3 linked regions of the Caenorhabditis elegans genome follow. The protein of the gene in region 3 interacts with the protein of the main gene of each other region in a pairwise test. Each region holds a gene or a part of one and is shown on either strand. Other genes may lie near its edges.

Region 1 (7,955 bases), on a different chromosome or scaffold from region 3:
TCAGAAAGTGGAAAGTAAAGGAATAGTTGAAAAATGGGAACATTGAATAAAGGGGGGAGGGGAAATATAATAAAGGATATGAAAAATGAAACAGTTATATAAACAATTATCAGTCAAATGCCATTCCGTCGAAATTATCATAAATGTTCATGTCCTTGTTGACTTCGCAAAAGTCTCAGAATGATTCGAGGTCGCAGACAATTTTATTCACTCTGAAAATATAGTATTATTATGACATAGGCTCCTACTTGGAAATGATCCAAGAAGGCTACTGGCGCAATTCTCGTGAGCTTTTTTAATGGTATTTTGGAGTCGGTTTAATGCTTGTAGTTTTTAATTAGCTAACGATTGTTCAAAATTGAAATGTTTCAGTTTTGGGCTAATCTTAAGCGTTTATCTGCTTGATATCTTTTAATTAGACCGAAGTTTCAAAATTTTTAATATTTTTTGGCAGTTTGGTATTTTTATAGGACGCTACTATGTATCTAATGTATACATTATTCCATAACCTTATTCCATGTTATTATAGATTTTCGAGAAAAGCACTTACAATGTGGGATTTGCATTAAAGATATTTTTCTCCTCGACTTGCCGATTCTTACTCTGAAATTAATTTCTGAAGGTTTTCGAAACTTTTTTGATACAAAAACTCACCAATTTACCATCTTGAGTCAGAAGATTTTTTGTAGACATTCGGGGTGCGGATAGCAGAAATTAAATTTCTGAAAGTAATGAAAATTAGCTTCTTGAAACTAATATAACTTTAAAACTCACCACACATACAATACATAAATTTTTTTAATTTGTTTTAATCCAGAAAAAAATGGTGGTGCCAGCCACACAAGCCGCCGCAGGAAGACCAAATGATACCTCCGGGAAAAAATTTTGATAAGAAAGTAGAGGAGCAGAGAAACAAAAACAATGAAAAAGTGTGTAGCGGACTGCAATAAAATTTTATATTAATGTAGAGTGACACACAAAAAGAAAAAGATGCTAAACAGTTTTCCTTCGAACTTTAAAAATATTTTAGTTTAAAAAAAATTTGAAAAAAAATCAAGTGTTTTTGATGGTTCTGGTGTTTCATTTAAATGAAACTATACTGTTTTATTTCATCAGGCTTAGGCTTAGGCCTATGCGTAGGCCTATGATTTGGCTTAGGCCTTGGCGTAGGCTTAGGCTTCGGATGTAAGCGATATTCTAGAAAATTTTGACTATGATAATTTGTCATTTTGGGATCATAGGAGTAGTTTTTAACAATTTCCCCTTTGGTTTTTTTGGATTTGGTCTGGCATGCTGCCACTGAAATGAAATTTCACAGGAAACACTGGATATCTAAGGCCAGCACTTAACATTGTTTTCATTCTTGAAAGCTGAAATCGCTAGTCAAATAGCCATCCAAGGAAAACACAACAAGTTTAAGGCGGGAAATGGCGCAAGTGGACGTTCAAAGAGAAGACCTTCAAATGAAGTTAGGCAGGCAAGTAGGCATGCCTATCAATAAAAATGTAGAGGGTAGTATCTAGTAGTATTAAGAAAACTTAACATTCCTATCCTTATAATCAGTAATTGCCAATTTGGATTGTTAATAACTTTTTATATTTCAGAGTCAACTACTAGAATTCTATTTATACGCGCCTATACCAATTTCCTCTACTGTGTTTTTCAGTACAAACGGAACCTTCGCTATCGTAGCGGATAAGTCTGAAGCATCGCTTTTGAAATTGAATCCGTGACCACTTTTTTGCCTAACTTTTACAAAAAGCCAAAGAAGAGACATATTTCTACTAATCAGTTGCCAATTATATACCTATTTCAAACATTCGCTTTATTGAAATTCAACTTTGAATTTTGAATGAGCAGCAGTCCTGATAACAATAGAAAACTACCCGTTACAAGTTCCTGGGCAGACCATAAATAAATTCACAAGAAGGAGCAAGTTGGAGTATAAAAAGAGTGGTTAAAAGGTCAATGAACAAGAATAAAATACAAAATACTCGACATGAAATAGATATATATCAGTACAATCATTGATCTCTGGGTGGGTCAAAAATAGATTCCAGCCATTCTCGTTTTGCATTCAAGTATCTGACAGGATCCGATTTCCGAAGATATACAAGGAGACACGCATCAGCAATTGAGATGATATTCTTCTGTCCGATACACTCCTTCCACAACATGTAGAGCATATTGGTGGAATCTGTGGAGCTGCTCGTATCGTCAAGCCGAGCCTGAACGAACTCGAGAGCAATATCTTTCTGAACTGCAAGGTCATTTGGATTTCCTAAGCAGGCTTCAGCAAACCGGAGAAACCATCTTCTGAATATATTTCGCACAGGTGGAACCCTTGGATCTGAAAAAATTTACGTTTTTCAAGATTAAATATGTCTTATCTTTCTTACCATCGGCATAAGGACCATCCAATCTTGGAATTGTCTCGGTGCAAAAATAATTCAAGTACAGCCATCTTTCAGGTGACATCCCGTGAATATTCAAATTCACTTTCAAGAGTTGTGTCTTCTCTTTGTAGTGAGCATCAATATAATCATTGAAGTCTTGTTGAGCTTCCAGGAATGCCGTCAAGCTATCAGAAATACGAGGTGGTGGTGAAGTTGGAGGTGCATCTTGAGAAGAATCTTCGGTCGGGTTGGCTGACTTGCAAGGGAGTGGGGCAGGCTGACTGAAAAAAAAATTAATTGTACTTGGAAAGTATGTTACAGAAATCGAATCAAGCTGTGCGGCAAAAATTTATATATTCTGAGGAAATTAAATTTATTAGCGGGCTCGCAATTCACCGTTTAGTAATTATAATATCAAGTGATTAGACTGGGCTCCAGGGATGTGTGGAAAATCTCAAAAGTTGCCGAGCACTACTAAATTTTTGGCGACAAAATCCATAGCTTTGATCAAAATTGTCTGAGCTCGGCAAACGGCAAATTAGGCTAATTCGGCAAAGTTGTTTCGGCAAAACCGTACAAATTTGCCGCACACCTTCTGGGCAATAGACAAAAGCAGAGGGCTTTTTGCGGAGTTGTGCAAGATTAATGCTCTATTTTTTTACTCGAGAGGTCTAGTCTTGACCTCAATCTACTCAACTTGCACATTATTTTCCATATGTTTGATCCACGATTTTTTGAGAATTCAGAAATTTATATAATACGAAACTCATTGCGAATTTATTGATTTGGGCCTTACCTGGTGGCTTCAGAGGACCATCTCCCGGCTTGGTTGTTCACTTCAGCCATACGATTATCACAATTGATTCCACTTCTTTTCGGAGTTGGGCAACCATTACAATCTATGGAAACTGGATTTCCGGTACAATGAGAGCTGGAAAAGAACATTTAAAAATGTTGTTTGTTCTTTGTAGTTCCATACCTTTTCAGTCCATCAAGCCCTGGAGTCAACTTTCGAGCGATTCGGTTTCCTGAAGTTGCTTCCTTCCCAGAAACCGTGGCGGAGTACATTGGTGACTTTGTGAGTTTCGAATCAATCATGCCAAGTGACTTGTCAATCTTTGAAGACCTGCAATACAAACATAATGAAAAAAGCAGCTCCAAGTGTAAAACTAACTTGTTGGATGCTGTCAGACATTTTTCTCCGATCAAAGCCTTCGGGCTTGTGATGATTGACAAGGAAGGTGTTCTCTGATCCTTGCTGAAATTCAAACTTTTACTAAATACTTCACTTTTTATCACTACATACCTTGAGAAAGCACGTTTTGTAGATTTCGGCTTCCCAGGGTCCCCATGAAGTAAACGTCTCATTTCCTCAACGTTGGCATCAAAAGTTCCTGTCCACTTTCTTCTTGAGATCTTTGGAGGAGAACTCGGATGTGGACTTGGTGTGGGTTCGACATCTTCTTCTACAGTCTCCAGCGTCACGTCAAGACTGGCGAGACGGGACGCACTACGAGAACTTCCACGACGATGTTTCTGCACTGAAGTTTTCTTCGAAAGATTTTCTGGCAGGGTTCGATTGTTTACATCCAGAAAACTGGAGTCGAAGTCTTCACCAATTGAGCAATTTAGATCACTTCTAGCTGGTAATGTCCGATTCAAATTGCTGCATTCTCCGTGAGAACTGGAAGCTGAGTGCAAGTGTTGTCCGATCTTCATGCTGACAATTTCCAGTAACTGTTCCACAGAAAGTTCGGTGCCGTCCTTGCTGAACACATTGGATTTCAGATTACGTTGAGCAGCTCCTCTGGAAGAGTTCAGTTTCTCCGCCACTTGACTGCCAGCATCCTTCGTTCCGCGAGACTGTTGTTGAGATTTGTTAGTGACAGATTTTGGACCGTTTGCAACACCATTGGAATCTTCTATGAACACGTCGTCAGACAGTTCATTGTCATCTGTGTTGTAGAAAGCACGATCCTGGACATTAGTGCTCCCATGTGATCTTCTTCTATCGTTTCTTGATCCTTCTTGATGATGCTTCCTTGTTAAAGCTTCATTAATAGTAAATCCGGAAAAGCTCTGGTTCAAATTCCGCGGCTTGAAGACATCATGCTGTTGGCCAAAACTAGAATTGATCGAATTGATAAGCTCATTTCCAAACATGCCTCCATATCTCTTGTCCTTGTGATCTCCAGGAGCTTGAACTCCAGCTTGAGCGTTGAAGCTTTTATTTCCATGAAGTTGTTGGTAAGCCTTGGTTTCTTGTTTCTGGAACCCAGCTGGAACGGAACTCCCACTGAATGACACATTCCCAGCATGGCCATGATTGTTCGATCCATCCGAGAAGCTTCGGCCAAGTTGTCCATTCGGACGGCTTCTACTGTGCCCTGTATTTGACTGCTGAGTGTTGTACTGATAAGTGGAAACTGACAAGTTCCGTTGATTCCAGCTGGAGTTATTGCGTGTCTGCGAGTTTTGACGGAAGTCTGCAGAGAACACGGGGGCCGTTGGAGGAATGCTCGATGAGTTGAAGACGTTTCTGTTAGCTCGAGCTGCATTCATCGATTGATTAATCGAGTGATTCAACTGGTCGCCGTTCATGGAAGGATTCCCGTTAAAAGACACGGATCCGTGGTGAGATCTGCCACCATATCCACGGCTTGTTGACTGAACACCGTCTTGCTTTACGAACGAATAAAACAATTCTTCAATACTAATGTGGTGTCCCATATTTTTCGATGCACTTTCCAAATTGCTTCGACTATGAGAGCGGTGACCTGAAATTACAAATTGAAGAAAAAAATTGATTTAAAAAATGCTTACCTTCTCTGTTTCCTCTGGAGTTTGGCAGATCACATGAGGAAAGCTTTGAAGAACTCATACCTGCAACAAAAAAAACTTAATGAAATATTACAAAATGTAAAAATGTAAAAATGTAAAGAAAATAATGAGGGAGAGAGGAATTAATGAAAACCGGTGGGACCAAAAAGCAAGAATGGAGACCTGTGAGTGAGTGAGTGCGAGAAGTGAGAGAGTGAGAGAGGTAGAGAAAGAGAGCGCGAAATAGTGTGTGGGGAAACGGTCAGGGGAATGCATGCGCGCGGCAAAAACACAGTTAAAATGCGGCAGGGGTATTACCAAAACAACACAAAACGTTTGTATGGTACCGGCTGTTTTTCAAGAGTATTGGAGGTTTGAGGAACAGTTGAGTAAAAAGTCGGATATTGATAGTTAATTCTCTGGAATATTGGTGACCGGAAAGATAATCACTGAATAAAACACGAGAAGAAGAAAAATAAGGAAAAATCTTTGGTTCCGTGTACTTGTTAGTTTAAAGGTGGAGTAGCGTTTGTGGGTTTTTTGTACCTTAATGACAAAATAGAGTTTCAATGTAAATATCGAATAAAACTGTAAAAAAATTCCGAACATTTTCTTTGAAATTTTATGATTTTTTTCAATTTTGCAAAAAAAAAGGGCCGAATTATTTTTCAATTCCAGCGCAAATTATTGACCTGATCTTTGACATTTTTCTTAATATTTTCTTTGATTTAAAACTTAAAACTTTAATTTTTCACAGTTTCATACATTTTTCAGTAATGTTTCAGTAAAGTAAGTTAAAATTAATACTGAATTATCGATTTTTAGACTAATTTCAGCGTTTCCAAGTGAGCAGCCAATTTTCTTTACGGAAAAATGTCTGAAAATGTGGCAAGTAAAATTTCAAATTATGACACAAAGAAAAAATGAAGAAAACTCAAACAGTTTGCCACGTGGGATCAAATGAAAATCTTGAGGACTGTGGTCGATAACTTCTGCCAATTAATTTTCTAGACTGTCTCATGTTTCAATACCAAAATGAAATCATTAAATACTGCCAGGTTGCCCCACGTGGCAAAATTTTTTTTTTTTTTTTTTTTTGGTTTTTTTCTACAGGTCTTGCCTGGATAAATGCCGTATGTAAGCTGTAAGACAGTGGAACGAACACTGAATTCCCATTTAAGGCTGGAAGGACCTAGGAGGTGGGGGTCGAACTTGTGACCTTGTGATTGCAAGCAGCGCGCATAGGCACTGAGCCATGCACCCCCCGGAAGCATGAGTCACTAATAGGGGTGGCTATAGGTCGACCTAGGTCGACCTGCGACCTAGAGGGTTAGGTCGCATCGCGACCTAGGTCGCATTGCGACCTGCGACCTAGCGACCTGGGTCGCTTTGCGACCTGCGACCTAGCGACCTGGGTCGCTTTGCGACCTGCGACCTAGCGACCTAGGTCGCATCGCGACCTGAATTACCGACATTTTGTTCTCTTTCGGTTTTGATTCACTTGAGTTGTTAAAATCCGTATAACTCGAAAACTAAAGATTGCAGAATATGTATGATATATTCCACTAACATTTTCTCTATTAAGATTTTATAAGTTTATGCGTAGTTTTTTTTCAAAAGTACGGAACAAAGAATTCATTTCTACAAATAAAACCATGCATTTCAGCAAATTTTTTCAAAAAGTTCACGTTTTTGTGGTTTTTGTTGTTTCTAAAATTTCATTTTCCACTTTTCGAATTAAAAACGTAGAAAAAAGCAGCAAATCCGGCGGATGTCGGCTGTTCTAACTTTTTTCGACAAGGTGTCTTATGGATGAGAAATCGAAAACAATGTAAAATAAATGATTTGTAGCAATTTGTTAGTATAAAAATTGTCGGTAATTCAGGTCGCAATGCAGTTTTCGAGTTATACGGATTTTAACAACTCAAGTGAATCAAAACCGAAAGAGAACAAAATGTCGGTAATTCAGGTCGCAATGCGACCTAGGTCGCTAGGTCGCAGGTCGCAATGCGACCCAGGTCGCTAGGTCGCAGGTCGCAATGCAACCCAGATCGCTAGGTCGCAGGTCGCTAGGTCGCAGGTCGCAATGCGACCTAAATGAAAACAGCGACCTAGCGACCTAGGTCGCACTCTTGCCACCCCTAGTCACTAATGAATTATATGAAATCGATCGCCGGAGAAGCTGCAAGCAGCATACAAAGGATCTTTTTTATTTTTTATTTTCAATTGATCTCTCTAGAGTGGCTTTTCTTATAAAATATTGAGACTTTTCCAAAGTCTCTATATGCGTTGTAACCAAAATTCCCAAACTGCCAAGCAAGTATTTATAATGAGTTCAAATTCGAAATGGGGAAATTGTTTTAAAACACGCCTATGTTACCACAATGACCGAATATCATGATAAAAAATTTTCTAGATTTCATATGATTTTTTGAAAATTGCAAAAATCTCAGTTTTCCTCTAATTCCTATTCGAATTTCCGCCGAATGAATTCGTTCGCTGGAGCGCACTTGCATTATTTTTATTAATTTATTTTATTTTTTCTCATTATTACACTGATTTTCTTCATTCTTTGTGTATTTTTATCGGAAAACAAGAGAGAAGATAAATGCAAATTATTTATTTAAAAATAACTGAGAATGGGTGAAACTGTGAAATAAGCTAATTTCAGGCTTGCTATCGTCGGAACTCATAATTTTACAGTTTTACCCATTTTCAGTGATTTTTAAATAAATAATT
Region 2 (8,077 bases), on a different chromosome or scaffold from region 3:
CGCCTTAACTAAATTTTAATTTTAATTTGGAAATTTTCAAGTCTGATATCCGTGCCCCGGGTGCAAGAAAAGTACTTTTGTAGATTAATTCTGGCCACCCGGACCGGTCAAATTCAATGACGAGACTTGAGAGAGAGTGTGTGGGATTTGAGAGACGCAGAGAATAAGAACGAATGGGGGATAATTGTCCACCTCGAGAATTATTGTGTACGCGCGGAAAACTGGATATGTTTCTTTTTCAGGGGTTTTTTAAGAAGGATATTTGATGGGACAATGGAGAAAAATCGGGAAAAAGGGATTTACAACTGGAAAATTCAAATTTTGCGCGTCAAATCTGGTGCATTGAATTTTTCGCGCTCCATTGACAATCTCCTGCCGGAAAGGACATTTTCCACGTGGAGTACACGGAACGTGGCCTAGAAAACTTTTCTCGGGTTTTCACGGGGTTCTGGCCTTCCTCATTGCATTTTTTGTACTCCACGCGGACAAATGCATTTAGTTTTACAACTAAAATCGAGCCGCGACGCGACACGCAACGCGCCGTAAATCTATCCCAGATATGGCCGAGCCAAAATGGCCTAGTTCGGCAAACTCTTCCATTTCAATTTATGAGGGAAGCCAGAACTCCGTGTCTGCAGAACCTAAAGATTTTTAACTCAAAATTGTAGAAATTAGGCTAAAATTGCACTTCAAGCTGAAATTTAAAAAAGGAATGCACTAGATTTGACGCACAAACGTTAGAAAATTTGAATTTCTCGGGTAGTGCAAAGAATTGTTAAGTTGAAAAAAATGCATCAGATTTGACGCGCAAATCTTGAAATATTTGCTGACATTGAGTTTTCACAGTTTTTTTTTAAATAAATTAAAGTTTTGATTACTTTTGATTAAATTTTTCGAATATTTTGTCTGAAAGTTTCACGTGATGTCAGAGTGTCTCATTTCGGCTTGATCTACGTAGATCTACGAAAATGCGGGAGTTGAGACGCAGAGTTTTCAACTGATTTCGCATGGTTAAGAACGTGCTGACGTCACATTTTGTTGGGCAAAAAATGCCCGCGTTTTTGTAGATCAAACCGTAATGGGACAGCCTGGCACCACGTGAAATTCCAGAAAAAATGTCTGAACCTACTGTAGTTCACAATTTAAAGGCGCATACCAAAAAATTATAGCGGGAATTAAATTTTTATTTAATAATTTTTTCAGTTACAGAGCAATTAAAAAATTCAATTTCATCAAAATTTTATAGACCAATTTTCTCGCTTTATAGCTGAGCTCCGCGAGCCAAAATAGGAAGGGGAGCACGAAAAAAAAACAGAAAAATGAGCTCGACAGAGCCCATAGCCTCAAGCGCTAACGAACCAAAAAATGCACACACACACAGGAGGCGGAGTCGTGGAAATTTCGAAAAAAAAAACAAGATTTTCTTCTCTCTCGGCTCAAATTTGAATGCGGAGCAAGAATATTACGGGAACAAAAAATTCTGAGAATGCGTACTGCACAACATATTTGACGCGCAAAATATCTCGTTGCGAAAAGCAAACTACAGTGATTCTTTAAATGACATTTGTAGTGTCGATTTACGGGATCTCGATTTTCGAAATGAATTCATTTATCATTGATCGAGCCCGTAAATCGACACACGCACTACAGTAGTAATTTAAAGGGTTACTGTAGTTTTGTTTTCGCTACGAGATATTTTGTGCGTCAAATATGTTGCCCAATACGCATTCTCAGGATTTTTTGTTAGCGTAATAAAATAACAGAAAACACAGAAAAAGGCATGAAATTTAATTTGAAATACCGCGCTGAGTTTTCTAGGCCACGTGTCGTGTACTCCCCGTGGACAAGCGGTTTTTGCCTTATTTTTCTGAAGTACAAATTCTCAAGTACAAGTAAAAAAGTACAAATTTTACCAAATTTGAGGAAAAGAACTAGCATGACAAAAATAGAATTAGAAAAATTCTAGAGAAAAACTACGGATTTCTGGCTTCCCTCATAAAATGAAATGGAAGAGTTTGCCGAACTAGGCCATTTTGGCTCAGCCATATCTGGAGTAGATTTACGGCGCGTTCCGTGTCGCGGCTCGATTTTAGTTGTAAAACTAAATGAATTTGTCCGTGTGGAGTACACGACTTTACCACGCGTTGTCCGGCAGGCGATTGTCAATGGAGCGCGAAAAATTCAATGCACCAGATTTGACGCGCAAAATTTGAATTTTCAAGTTGTAAATCCCTTTTTTCTTCCCATTGTCCCATCAAATATCCTTCTTCAAAAAAACCCCTGCGTCTCTCAGGCCATATCTGCGGTAGATTTACGGCGCGTTGCGTGTCGCGTCGCGGCTCGATTTTAGTTGTCTGGCGGGCGATTATCAATGAAGCGCGAATAAATCAATGAGGAAGGCCAGAACCCCGTGAAGATCCAAGAAAAGTTTTCTAGGCCACGTTCCGTGTACTCCACGTGGAAAATGTCCTTTCCGGCAGGAGATTGTCAATGGAGCGCGAAAAATTCAATGCACCAGATTTGACCACGCGTCGTGTACTCCACGTGGAAAATGTGGACACTAGGGATCTACTAAATGCCTGGAAAATCGTAAAAATCTCGAAACTTCCTAAAGAAAAAAAAAGCAAATACACAAAAACGCATTGATGTATGAACAAATTGCCCTCCCCGTCTCCCACCAAAAACTCCCAAAAATTGCTCTTTTTTCATGTTTATATGGGGGACCGCGGGATTTCATAATAGCTCCGTGGTCCGCTCAGCTCATCCGGAGCCAAAAAGAGCACACACACACACGCACACATAAAAGTTGTAAACTAGTTTCGAGCAAAAATGATACGACGGATGAGTGTGTCACGCAATCAGTGAGCTTCTCTCGCTTTCGAAAGAAAAATCTTTTTCGCAAAAAGAAAAAGTACTTTACACTGGCCACAGTGTAAAATAAGGGTGAAAAGATCGAAAATCGGAGGTTTCAAATTTGAATTTCCGCGCAAATGAGAGGGACGAGGTGCGATGGCCTACAAAACTCCGCAGGTGTACTCCTCTCGGAAAACGGTGCGAGAATTAATTTTTTAATTTATATTTAATTTTCAGCGATTTTTCTCAGTTTTCCGGTTAAAATTTAAATTTTTTCAGGAAAAATGATGGAATTAGAAACGGGTCAATGCACAATTATGGAATTGAAAAAAGAAAATGTGAAGGAGCTCGCGCAGGTCTTCAAAACCGTCGCTTTTAAGGATGTTAGTGTTGGAAAATATCGATATTAATTTCATTTTTTTTGAGAAAAAATCTAAATTTTTCAATTTTCCAGACAGGAACGTGGCACGCTTCCGAGGCGGGCATGAAGATCACAGTCGACGATGGATCCTATCAGCTGGCCAGCGTTTTTATCAATCCGGCGTTCTTCTCGAGTTTTAAAGTTCGCGAGGAGATAGTTTCGATGAAAATCTCGATTAAATCGATTTCTGTGAGCCTTTAAAAGCCCATAAAAGCCCAAAAAAGTGGCAAAAAACAAAAAAATTCCAGGAATTCCTGAGCATTTCGGAAAACTCGTCGAGTTCTGTAAAAGTCTCGTATCCGGGAATGTTTCAGCCTGTGAAAATGCTTGTTGAAGACGCAGACGGATGGGTGGCACGTGGCAATTTTACAACAACGCTGGCAGATCAAGTTCGCCGGGTTTTCGAAATTCCTAGATTTTTTTTTGTCTATTTTTAGGAGCTCGACTTTGAATTCGATGACGCTGGTGTGCTGGCGACCTATCTGCTTAAAACTCAAGTTCTCAAGGAGATTATCAAGGTTTTATCATTGAAACCTTTAAACATTCGAAAAAAATTTATTAAACTCCAGACATTTTCCAAAAAAAATTTTTTTTTTTGGATTTTCGAAAAAAATGTTTTTTTTTTGAAATTAAATAAAAAACTTTTTTTTTTACTTTTTTAGTGAAAAAACAAAAAAAATCGGTTTCCCTTCAGAAAAATCGGTGTTTTTCGGTTTTTTTCATATTTTAAAACATTTTCTGAATTTTTTTTTTGACTTTTTGGAAAAAAATTTTTTTTTGGATTTTTTCAAAATGAAATAAAAAACTACTCGAATGTCGCAAAAACAAAAAAATTTCTTTTTGTTCTGACAGATTAACATTTTTTGGTTTTTTTCGACTCCAAAAAAAAATTTCTGAAAAAATTAGCTTTTTTGAAAAAAAAACCATTTTTTTTTAAATTTTTTAGTCGAAAAACGAAAAAAAAAATCGGTTTCCCTTCAGAAAATTATTGTTTTTGGGTTTTTTCCCACATTTTAAAACATTTTCTGAAAAAAAACTTTTTTTCGACTTTTTTGAAAAAAAATTTTTCGGTTTTTCCGATTTTCTAATTTTTCAACAAAAAAAGACGAAAAAAACCAGAAAATTCCGAATTTTAGAGCCAAAAACGAACATTTTCCGTTTTTCAATTTTGAAAAAAAAAACGTTTTATTTTTATTTTTCGATACTTTTTTGTCGAAAAACGAAAAAAAATGTTTTCCGTTCAGAAAAATCGGTGTTTTTTGGTCTGTTTTTCATATTTTAAAACATTTTCTGAAAAAAATTTTTTTTTCGAATTTTTCATTACTTTTCAAAAAAAAAATCCGTTTTTGATTGAAAAAACCTTGATATTTTTCCGATTTTCTAATTTTTCAAAATTAAAAAAAACCAAAAAAAAAATCCGAAAATTCCGACTTTTTGAGCTAAAAACGAAAATTTTCCGTTTTCAATTTTGGAAAAAAAATTTTACTTGAAAATTCGATTTTCGCTTAAAAAGTAGTTTTTATTGTTTCAATTTTTCGAAAATAAAAAAAAATCGATTAAATTGCAGAATTTCCAACCCAAACCCAAAAAAATCGACGTCCAATACTTATGATTTGACGCGCAAATTCTAAAATTCAAATAAAAATTCTTATTTTTGCATTAAAAAAATACGAATTTTTAATTTTTTTTCTCTATTTCAGGACTTCGATGACACAAGCCGAACGGTGAGAATTCAATTCACCAAGAATTCACTGTGTTTCACGACTTTCGGTGATGTTGGCGAGACTACAGTAGGATTTTTCAAATTGAAAATTAAATAAATTTTAGGAAATTAAAAAGAAAAAAATTTTAATTTTTTAACTCAAAAAAAAAAAAAAAAAATTGTTTTGAAAAAATATTTTTTAAAAAATTAAAACCAAATTTTTTATACTTTCAGGTATCAATACCGTCTCGAAGCCTTCAAATGGAAAGTGTAAAGTGCCTTGAAGAAGTTGAATTTAGCTATCTTCTGTCGCTTATTCAACGAATGACTACCGCCTTTATACTGGCTACAAAGGTAGTTTCTGGAAAGAAATTTAGCCTATCTGCTAGATTTTTCCTAGTTAAAGTTATCATGGTTCCAGGAAAAATTCATTAAAAATATGAAAAAATTGGGGGAAAAAAAAAATTTTTTTCGAAATTTTTTGAAAAAAATCTGAAAAAATTTGTGAAAATTATTTTCACTATAATTTTTAATTTAAAAAATTGAGCCGATTTTTTTAGAAAAATAAATTTATTTGTGAAAAAATTAATTTTCCTTTCGAAAAATATTTCGATTTTTGAAAATTTTTTTAAATTTGAAAAAAAAAATTTTCATTTTTTTTTCAAAAACAGAAAAAAATTTCGAAAAAAATAAATAAAATGTCTAAAGCATTTTTAACGATTTTTCCAATTTTGCAACAAAAAATATCAACATTTTTCCGTTTTTTTCCCCGAAAAAAAACCCCAAAAACTCCAAAATTGGCCAAAAAAATCGAAAAATAAATTAAAACGTTATGCTCCAAATCAAATTTTAGTTTCAAAAATCGAGAAAAAATTAGAAAAAATGTTTTTCTTCGAAATTTTTTTTTCAATTTTCTAAAAAAAAATGTCTCGAATTTTTTGATGCAAACTTTACAATTTAAGTTTTTTCCAGCTCATCCTCCGTGTCGACGAGCGTGGCGTCCTCTCCTGTCAATTTTCAATCGATCACGGCGAGGGAAACGCAAGCTACATTGAATTTCTGACGGTGCCCGCTGATGAAGAAGAATAAAATATTATATACATTTTTAATTTTTTTTTAATGTTCGATCCCCGAGTTTTGCAACAAGTGTACCCTCATCTCCCGGGTATAAAAACCCGAAAAACTGCACCGAAACGCACGCAAAAAAAATTAATATTTTCTTCTTTTTCGTGCTTCTTGCAATTCTCGCTGTTGATTTAAATTTTCAAATAAATATTGATTTTTATTACGAATATTGCATTTTGAAATGAGAAAAATTTTTAAAAATTGGGTTTTTTTTCAGTGAGTGTCTCGTCGAATAAAATGCTCGGTACGTAGTACACCGTCACGTCAAAATACACAGAATCGTGGATTTTTTTCAAAAAAAAAACAAGGATTTCTGGCTTCCCTCATAAATTGAAATGGAAGAGTTTTTGCCGAACTAAGCCATTTTGGCTCAGCCATATCTGGGGTAGATTTACGGCGCGTTGCGTGTCGCGTCGCGGCTCGATAGTAAAACTAAATGTATTTATCCGTGTGGAGTACACGACACTTTCCCATGCGTTGCCCGTCGGGCGATTGTCAATGGAGCGCAAAAAATGCAATGAGGAAGGCCAGAACCCCCTGAAAAATCGATGTGTTTTTAGGATTTCTTCAAATTCTAATTAATTTTTAGAGTTTTTTGCCGGCAATATTATGTGGAAAATGAATGCAAAACTTCTTGTAGCCCTAAAAATCCCCAAGTTTGTGTATTTTTAAAGAAAATTAAAGTCTCCTGCCGAAATTTTCAATAAATATTGATTTTTATTACGAATATTGGATTTTGCAGTGAGAAAATGGGGTTTTTTTTTTGCAAAAAGACTCCGTAATTGTTGGAAAAAAGACATATTACAGGAACACAAATTTCTGAGAATTGCGTACTACACAACATATTTGACGCGCAAAATATCTCGTAGCGAAAAGAAAACCACAGTAATTATTTAAATGATTACTGTAGGGCTTGTGCAGATTCACGGGCTCGTTATTCGGAATTAATTAAAATTATTTAGGGATCGATTAAGCAAAAAATTCCTTCGAAAATCAAGCTAGTAAATCGACGCTACAGTAGTCATTTAAAGAATTACTGTAGTTTTCGCTACGAGATATTTCGCGCGTAAAATATGTTGTGCAATACGCATTCTCAAAATTTTGTGTACCCGTAATACCTCAAATCGTTCATTTTCGCCTAATTTCTGCTTTTCTCAAAAAATTTGAATTTTCCGCTAATAGATTTCTTAGAAACTTTGAATTTTCCACCAGAATCCCGCTCTAAAATGTGGAAAAATCTTTTAAAAAACGTGGTTTTCATTACTCAAAAAAAAAAAATTTGAATCGAAAGAAAAATGAAATAAATAATAATAATAATAATAAAACTTTCTCGGGGTGGGGGTGGAGGGACTTGCACGCATAATAAATACAAGAAGCAGTAAATGGGGAAGGGGAGGAAATTTCAGGAAAAAAAAATTAAAAAAGGGGAACCATAGGACACACAAATCATTCTAACCCAAGTTATTCGACTATTTCTGTGCTGAAATTTCAAAATTTTCAGATTTTTTCGGGGGGATTTACTTATTTAATTTAAAAAAATGGATGGAGGGGGAATCGCGGAGAACATTCAATTATCACAATGCAAAAAAAAATTAGATTTTAATTTTTTTTTAAATTAAGGCTTCTCCTGTTGGCTCGGATTGTAGGGAATCGGGGTGAAATACGGAGAATCTGCTGACGTTGTTGTTGGAGCAGATGGAGCAAGAGCAGGAGCATTCTGAAAAAAAAAAATTGTTGAAAATTTTGTGTCAATTAGGCCAATTAGCTAATTTTTTAAATAAAATTGTGCAGTTTTGGGCCAAAAAATAAAATAAAGTAAATTTTGGCAAAAAAAATTGATGTTTCTTTGGAATTTCTCTCAATTTTTGGCTAAAAGTGTGAAATTTTTTGGCTTTTTGCCAATTTTTAGCTCAAAACTTCAATTTTTTCTTAAAATTTATCAATTTCGAGCTAAAAATCTCGCTTTTTCCAGTATT
Region 3 (7,928 bases):
AACTTCTGATTCTTACATTTTAACTATTTTCAGATGCGGTTTCTACACCCACCTGTCATTCTTTTATTACTGGTGCCCGTTTCTATGGCTATCATTCAGTGTACTCACTACAGAGTCCCACAAGGACAACCGATTCCGAAGGCTGAGCGAAACGTGAGTTCAACTGCTATTTGTATTGATAAGATTTTGCATTGCTTCAGCCAAGATGCCATTCGAAAGCAGAATATTGTGTGAAGGTCACCGGAAGCAGCGTAGGAACTAATCTTCCGTTCATTTCGGGCCGATGCGAGCATGCTGGTGAATGCAAGGACCACGGAAATGACTGCTTCACCAGAACCGACACTCAAGGAAAAGAGGAAGAAATCTGTTGCAGCTCTGGAAACTTCTCAAACCACGGATCAACCACTCCGCTTTTCACTTCTATCGCACTTTTCATCACATTGCTTATTATGTTTTGTTGAAGTCAATTTTAGTAATAAACTCGCCAAGCTATAAATTTCGAACAATTTTTTAAACAACATTTCATTAAAAACAAAACAACGTTTTACTTTTGGGCCTTCTTCAGTTTGGCGAGCTCCACTCGGACGATTCTGTTTCTCATCTGCTTGGCCTTCATGAGCTTGTATCTCTCGAAGTCGGTGAGCTTGGCTCTCTGCAAGTAAAAATGGTTAAAGTGAGCCGAAAATGCTAATTTTAATACAAAAACCAAGCTAACTTTAAAAATATCGGAAATAGTGACTTACGATAGCTCTTTGAGCGATCTTCTTGGCCCATTGAGTCTTCTGGAAGTTCTCGGTGACCTTGGCGGCATCGAAAGCTGCCTTAACTCCCTTGGTGCGTTGTCCAACACGGAGCTTGAGGACGAACTTGGTGAGCTGAAGATCCTTCAAGTTTCTGACGGTGCGAGTGACATCGGAGGATGGTCCATCGATTTGAACCTGAAAATAACAATTAGAAGCCTGTATTTATGTTTTCTTGGGGCTACGTGTTTGCTTAAAACAAACGCTCAGCTAAATTTATATCGATTATATTCGAAACAATTTCAAAAGGGAAGTTGTGATTAATCATAAATTAACAATCTAATTACTAATTGTTCAGTAAATCACTTTAACGAGCATATTTCAGTGATGATTTCACTATTTAATGATTCAGAGCTATGCTTTCCGATTTTTGCATTTTACAAACATTTCTGATCGCATTGATAATCTAAACGTTTTAAAAAGTTTAAGTAAAATTCAATAAATCTGCTATACATTTTTTTTTCTTAATTAATAAATGACTTACTCTGTTTCCGTCGATAACGTTGACGATGGCAGCAAGCTTGCCTTGGTCTTTGCCGGAGGCGATGAAGACGACGCGCCCAATTTGAACGACACGGTTGAAGACCATGTTTACTGAAAATTAAATAATAAATCAAAATTATAACGCGTACATTGAGAAGTGAAGAAACACCGAAAAAATTGACTTCACCAGCTAAAACGATATATTTTGAGCAAAAACTTATGATTTTAGTATTAATCGATAGACAAACTGGTTCTGAATTTTTCTTATATCGTTTTTATCACAGAAACAACCGAAAAATATCAAAAATTTGCTGAAAAAGAAGAAAATTTGGGAAAAAAATCGCAAAATGAGTAAGACAGCCATAGGCTACGGTGACAATTTCGTGGCGAGACCCACATGGGGCGGGACACGTGCAAGTATGCGGCGCACCCAACGCAACTGCGGCGCAGTTTATCTCATCTTTTTCATTGTAGGAAGGGGAACTTTGCTCAATTGTTTGCTCTTATGTAATTTCAGTGATTAATGTATGTATTTGTACTGAACCTGTATGAATTTCATTAAACCGGTGAATTTTCAAAAAAGTCGTGTTCATATTTTAGGAAAAAGCAACTTAGTCCAGTTTTTCGATATAAATTGCATTTTGTAAATTAATACAGGATGCATGGTAAAGTTTTATTACTGAAAACAAAATAAATAAAAACAATTCTGCGATATTCAGTAAACATAACGGGAATCAATTAATTTAACTGCATCATCTTCTGCCATTTGATTCATAGCATCGCGCAATCGGGAAATTGATGAGTCTTCAAGTTGTTCAAATTGGTCCAAAAGAATCATAGTCGGGCTTGAATCGTCTCCCGATGAGCAAATAGAAATAAGTTCCACCATGTGATCACAATTGAGTTGTTGTGCCAATCTTTGCCATTTGCACTGATCATCAAATATTTTTGCAACGCGAATTCGGGTCAAATAATCTAAATTGCAGACCGAATCACTAAGCTTCGGATTCCGATCCCATTCACTTCGACGCCTTCGTGTTCCCGACGATGTTGAGGGTCCCGGCTGTTGCTCATCTTCAGATTCAGATGTGGATATTCTCGAAACACGTGGAGCCATGGAGTCAGTTTCAGCGAGAAGAGTTTGAGCGTCTACAAAAACGGATCTAATTTCAAAAAATCTTTCAGAAAACATACCATTTAATATTTCTTCTCTAGATCTCTTCACAACTCTGTGCCGCCCACTCTCTTCACCTGGAGCCTGATCTGGATGAGATCTCCCAAATAAGGGAGATCTAGAAATAGCTAAATCATTAGGAACACCAAAAGCTTCTTTCTTGGGTAGTTCGGGTCTATCTCCATTTATAATGTTTTGAATAACACTATCTTCACTATCTGCCAAGCATATTCCTTTAGAATTTTGTCTATTCGGATCAGCTCCATTATCTAAAAGAAGGCCAATCACTGGATAGTTAACGTTTTTTACAGCCAAGCTCAATGCAGTCTCTCCAGATTCATCTTCTATATTTGTTCCTGATCCTCTCTGAAAAAATATTAAATTTAAAACAATGTTTTTCTATGTACAGTTACCTCAACCAAAAGCTGAATAGTCTCAAAATCATTCATTTCAATTGCGTGCATCAACGCATTTCTTTTCTTTTCAGTATCCAAAAAATCAATCAATGCTCCCGCTTCAATGAGCATCTCAATCAACGACAGCTTCAACCTTCTTACTGCCACGTGAATCGGTGCAAATCCCTCCGAATTCAGCTGATTCACATCAAACCGTTGACCTCTAGATGGTTCTAATATTTCTTTGAAAATTGATTCATTGTATGCATCTCCAAGATAATGTAGAGCCTGAGAAGTATTGAATAATCTACACAAAGCGAACATTTTGTCTGTTATATACTTACTGTGCTCCCATGATTATCTGATATGTCAATTTTGGCTCCATGATTCATGAGATAATGAACAGCATCGGGATCTCCAGTCCTTATAGCTACATGTAGTGCAGTAAGACCATGTGTGTTTTGTACATTTATCACTTCTGAAAATATTACCCATATGCAAAATATTGCGCCAAAAATAAGATCTCCGGTCTCGACACGACAAATTTTTGCTAAATGAGAAAAGGTGTGCACCTTTAAGAAAACTACTGTAATATCAAACTTCTGTCTTTGCAGAATTTGTTAAATATAACCTTCAAAACAAACTATGAAAATTTACAAAAAATTGTCGTGTCGTATTTTCTGCGCGAAAAAATGCGAAATTTCGCGTCTTGGTGATATAAATACTGAAGTTTTTATGCCAATTCAATCACAGGTGCTTTAAATAGCTTCGTCTCAAAACATCTTACCATTTTTAATATCGGGTGGAATCACTGAAAGTAGAAGCTTTAATGAGAAGCTCTGCCCATTCTTCGCTGCCACATGGAATACTCTGGAATAAATTATGAATGTTGTAAAGGAGAGGAAAACTTGAAATCTTACGTATTTCCTTCAATATCTTGTTTTGAAATTTGTGCTACAAAAGGCTGAAGTAATGAAATTGTGTCTCCGTTGGTGGCAAATTCAAGTAAATTGTCAAAAAGCGATATTTCCTGAGTATGCGAACGTTGGATTTTTCGTGGCAAGTATTTGAAAGAAATCGTTGTCACATTATCATTTGAAGTTGAAAATCTGAGCTCCACTTCCAATTCTGAGTCTACTTTCAGAGAAGGGACTGTGAACATTACAAGCTGTAAAACATCATTAATTATATAAGTTTTTACACAGATTTTGTTACAGATTACGGAGAATGGGTACAATTTCAATGCGAATTTTATCATTTATTGAAATTATATTATTTTTTCAGTTTTCCCTTTTACGAAACGGTCCTTACCGAATGTTTCCTAACAACATCAATTGCACTCTCTTCAAATTGATCGCCTAGAAAGTGAATTGTGATGAGTTCAGTGGCGTCTCCTGTATTAAAAAGAAAGATTTTCTTCATCCGACTGTAACTTAAACTAACCAGCACCAGAACATGTTGCCCAGACGCGATCACCAGCAGATGCTTCAATAGTTGAAATATCATCAATGAATAACCGGCGATGTTGACTTGAGGATTTATGAATTGATGATGTATGGGAATTTATCTAGACAATAATTTGATATACTTTTTTATATTCATAATTGCTCGCTTCTAGAAAGTGCTTGATTATTTTCTTATTTGGCTCATATGCCATCAGGGTAAAAATTTTAAAAACTAATTTTATAGAGTTAAAATGACCAAATATAAGTATATATCTGTTCTGAAAATTTTTGATATTTTCCACCAAAAAACTGGCGATCACACAGTTTTCGCCATTCTCAATTTTGTAATTGTACCAAAAAAAAACGTTTTTTTTCTACCAATTTTATATTTACTTTATAATTATGTTTCAAATATTTGTATTTAACCATTTTAAAGGTTCAGATACGTAACTTTGCTTTAGATTTCTCACAAAGTCCAAATGGTTGGCAAATTTGGAAATTTACCAAATTTTTGACTGGGAATTTTTAGAGTTCTTTATTATGATATTTGGTTATTTTGGAATTATATTGATTATTATATTGAATATATTGATTCATATAATTCAGTCAAAATCCTCATTGAAGCTAATATATTTTTTAACTACAGTACTAGTAGTACTACTACAAACCTCTGAGTCTGATCTCGATTTGTGAACTCCATTTTCTGTGAGATTAGCATCATTTTCATCAGCTTTAGACATTATTAGAAAATGATTAAAAAACCAATAATCAAAATGAAACGAACGAGAGGATATTAGAATGAGGGTATCCCGCGAGAAAGCTTCTCTCCAACGACCACCGCCTGCTCGACTGTGTGTAAACTCGGCAAATGCCTATGTCTCTTCAACTTTTACACTATTCGCACGATCTTTGGGTTCAAGCACTTGGTCGATCGGAAAAGAGCGCGAGGACAATCTTATGACAATCTGATGGGGATGAATGAAAATATCAGCGGATTTGGAGAGAAATAGAGAAGCACAGAAAATGATGATGTGTTCGAAATGAACTAGAATGTGATATTGACCACGAGCTTACACGTAAATATCAGACAATCTAGATACTGTGTCAAAAACATTTGTTAGATAACTCGATAAACAACTATGCCAACCTAATAATATGAGGTCATATTTGGAGCTGATCAGAGTTCTCCAAGAGATCTAACAGTGGTGTCACCTTAAGAGGAGATATAATTTTTTTTTTTAAAGATGATGCAATGGACACTTCGGAATCAAAGTAAACAAATACCCAATTGAAAGTTAAGACAACTGTATTTAAATATTTAAAAAAATTTTAATAAGGACGTTGTTTTTGATAGAACTATTAATATGTTTCTATCAAATCGAGAGATCTGCAAAAGTTCTGATTTAAAAAACCGTTGTCCAATCAGCATGGGATCAATTGTGGCAAAAATGTTAAGCTTTTCGGTTTCTGAACTGCCTACTTTTCATTGATGAATTTTTTTTCCTTTTTTTTGGAACGAAAAAATTCGCAAAAAATTTTCCCGTGGTGGAGAGTTGAACTCATGTTTGTTTGTTTTTTCTGGACCCTTTTTTTTTCTTTTTTTTTGGGACGAAAAAATTCGCAAAAAAGCTCAATTATTGTTACAATTAAAATAGTCTGCAGATAAAACATTAAAACCGCTTTGAAGTGTTTTTTTTTACTCTACGTTATTTAGAAGTGTTTCATCACACACTGTAAATAAAGCACAGATTTCTGAAATAAAACAATAAAAGTTTGAAATAATCCGAGTGTTTCTTTCTAAGTATCTTTTGCATTTGCAAACATATCGCTAGTTGGAAAGTCGAGTTTTTTTTTCAGAAATAATTTGCAGTATTTGCAAGACTAATTTTCGATTTATAGTCAACTATGACTCAGAGTTAATTGAACGGCAAATAATAACGCCAAGACAGTGTGCACTGATAAAGTGAACAATGTTTTGGTAAGGTGACGGTTTACTGTTACTTTTTTCATTTTTCATCGATTTTTTAAATGTATTCCCTGTGGAACCACTATAAAAATATAAAAGACTTGATATTGGCAAAACTATATCAACAAAACAACAAAATAACTTACCGTTTTTCCTCATTAGTATTGCACCCAATTGTTCAACTTTGACAGCTTATACTATCTCAGTAATCGTTTGTACTATTCAAAATTTGTCATCTAACAATATATTTTTTAGTTCTTTTTCTATTATTTCGTAGTTTATAAAATATTGATATCTTTGAAATGAATCGAGATATAACGTTTCAAAGTTAAGTAGCCGGTGCCATACTAATAGAGGAAATACGGTAAAATTGAGAGGTTTAAATGTCACCAAAAATTAGATAAGGGAAAGAATGATCTTTAACCAAGTCTTGCCCGAGTTTGATTTAATTTAAGCCAGGAAAGTTTGGGTAAAATATAAAAAGGAGAAGAAGCTGTCGTCCCTCAAGCATTGACTTAGGATCGCTCTCGTTCCGTTAGTTCTCCTGAAATATAATTAATAGGTACGAGGGGGTCGTCGCCTCAAATCCTCGTCTCACCCTCTTTCCACCAAATCTTTGTGTACAATTGTTGTCCCTTTTTTTACTATTTTTTGTGCCTATGCCATTTCATTATCACTTTTCGAGTGTATATTCCAGCACCAAAAATGTTACAGATGAAGTAGGTTAAGGATTTGGAATTTTGGTATTCTACCAAAATTTTAACTGAAAGTTTTGAAAAATCTGAAAAATTTTGGAATGTTTTAACAAAATATATCGTTTTTAATCACATTTCAGGTCTATTTAGAGACAATATTTCAACTGGACAAAGTTTTTGAAACTTTGGAGTTTTGCCAAAAAACATTCTTTTCTTATTTCTAATCCTTCATTATCGAGAATTCACTTCTTCTGTAGAATTCTATATCAATGCCTAAACAATTTTTCCTGGTTTTTTTTTCGATTTTTATCAGTGTGAATCATATCAATTTTTCGCCCATTGCTCACACTATTTTTGACGAGAATGAGGCGGAGCTTAAGGTTTCTCCGTCTCTCAAATCTATGAACACTTTCTTATAGTTAGACTGAGCAAGGCAACGTCGCCTAAAGCAGGATCGAGTATAAAAACTGCAGAACCACACATTCAATCCAATATCTTTTTGAAAGAAATACCGTGTTCATTTTTCTCTCCATTCAAGTTTTTTTAATCGAATGTTCTCGACGACCATATTGCGAAATCTTTTTTTCGTTGTGGGTCTTCACAGGCAATATACAAACTTATTTTAACTGATTTAAAAAATATTAAATAATAATGTAGATATAGTTACATTATTTATATTTAAAAATTGTTCATGAATTTGTTCTGTTTCGAAATGTCTCACTAGGGAATGACCAGAATAAATGGAGCGATATTCAAAAAAAAATATTGTATCGGAAAGCTGACATTCTCTACTATAAGAATATGACTGAAATTTTTGCCCGTTCGGGCTGGAAATCTGAAATTTTTACGTCTGAAATTATTCGTTTTGACGTGCTTTACTTATCACCATCCCCAATTAGTACTGCTTGCAACAGCGAGATGGCCGAGTGGATAGAGTGGATGACAAGCATGGTGGGACTCTGGGGTTCAA

Evidence for each region. Proteins that work in one complex are often made in the same cells at the same time.
Region 1: the proteins of ikb-1 (region 3) and meg-4 interact in a two-hybrid assay, tested with the Caenorhabditis elegans proteins (2 studies listed by BioGRID).
Region 2: the proteins of ikb-1 (region 3) and mrt-2 interact in a two-hybrid assay, tested with the Caenorhabditis elegans proteins (2 studies listed by BioGRID).

What each region holds. Positions count from the first base shown.
Region 1 is NC_003284.9:1,680,278-1,688,232, reverse strand, and holds meg-4 (J domain-containing protein), read right to left. Parts: upstream 5,280-7,955; 5' UTR 5,278-5,279; coding exon 5,220-5,277; intron 5,174-5,219; coding exon 3,703-5,173; intron 3,655-3,702; coding exon 3,571-3,654; intron 3,523-3,570; coding exon 3,376-3,522; intron 3,328-3,375; coding exon 3,193-3,327; intron 2,678-3,192; coding exon 2,400-2,677; intron 2,351-2,399; coding exon 2,025-2,350; 3' UTR 1,814-2,024; downstream 1-1,813. Other genes in the region: C36C9.11 (Transposase), read right to left, coding at 176-212, 551-603, 655-693.
Region 2 is NC_003281.10:11,743,912-11,751,988, forward strand, and holds mrt-2 (Cell cycle checkpoint protein RAD1 homolog mrt-2), read left to right. Parts: upstream 1-2,854; 5' UTR 2,855-3,051; intron 3,052-3,132; 5' UTR 3,133-3,137; coding exon 3,138-3,236; intron 3,237-3,307; coding exon 3,308-3,463; intron 3,464-3,522; coding exon 3,523-3,663; intron 3,664-3,711; coding exon 3,712-3,792; intron 3,793-4,974; coding exon 4,975-5,064; intron 5,065-5,210; coding exon 5,211-5,330; intron 5,331-5,948; coding exon 5,949-6,065; 3' UTR 6,066-6,264; downstream 6,265-8,077. Other genes in the region: gbf-1 (Golgi-specific brefeldin A-resistance guanine nucleotide exchange factor 1 homolog), read right to left, coding at 7,717-7,818. UniProt on the Caenorhabditis elegans protein: May be a component of the 9-1-1 cell-cycle checkpoint response complex that plays a major role in DNA repair. Promotes DNA double strand break-induced cell cycle arrest and apoptosis, thereby playing a role in genome stability.
Region 3 is NC_003279.8:9,682,663-9,690,590, reverse strand, and holds ikb-1 (Death domain-containing protein), read right to left. Parts: upstream 5,194-7,928; 5' UTR 5,038-5,193; coding exon 4,966-5,037; intron 4,420-4,965; coding exon 4,296-4,419; intron 4,247-4,295; coding exon 4,164-4,246; intron 4,021-4,163; coding exon 3,773-4,020; intron 3,723-3,772; coding exon 3,640-3,722; intron 3,331-3,639; coding exon 3,197-3,330; intron 3,141-3,196; coding exon 2,871-3,140; intron 2,824-2,870; coding exon 2,478-2,823; intron 2,433-2,477; coding exon 1,999-2,432; 3' UTR 1,938-1,998; downstream 1-1,937. Other genes in the region: nssp-7 (Activin_recp domain-containing protein), read left to right, coding at 34-153, 201-461; rpl-14 (Large ribosomal subunit protein eL14), read right to left, coding at 545-652, 744-938, 1,285-1,389.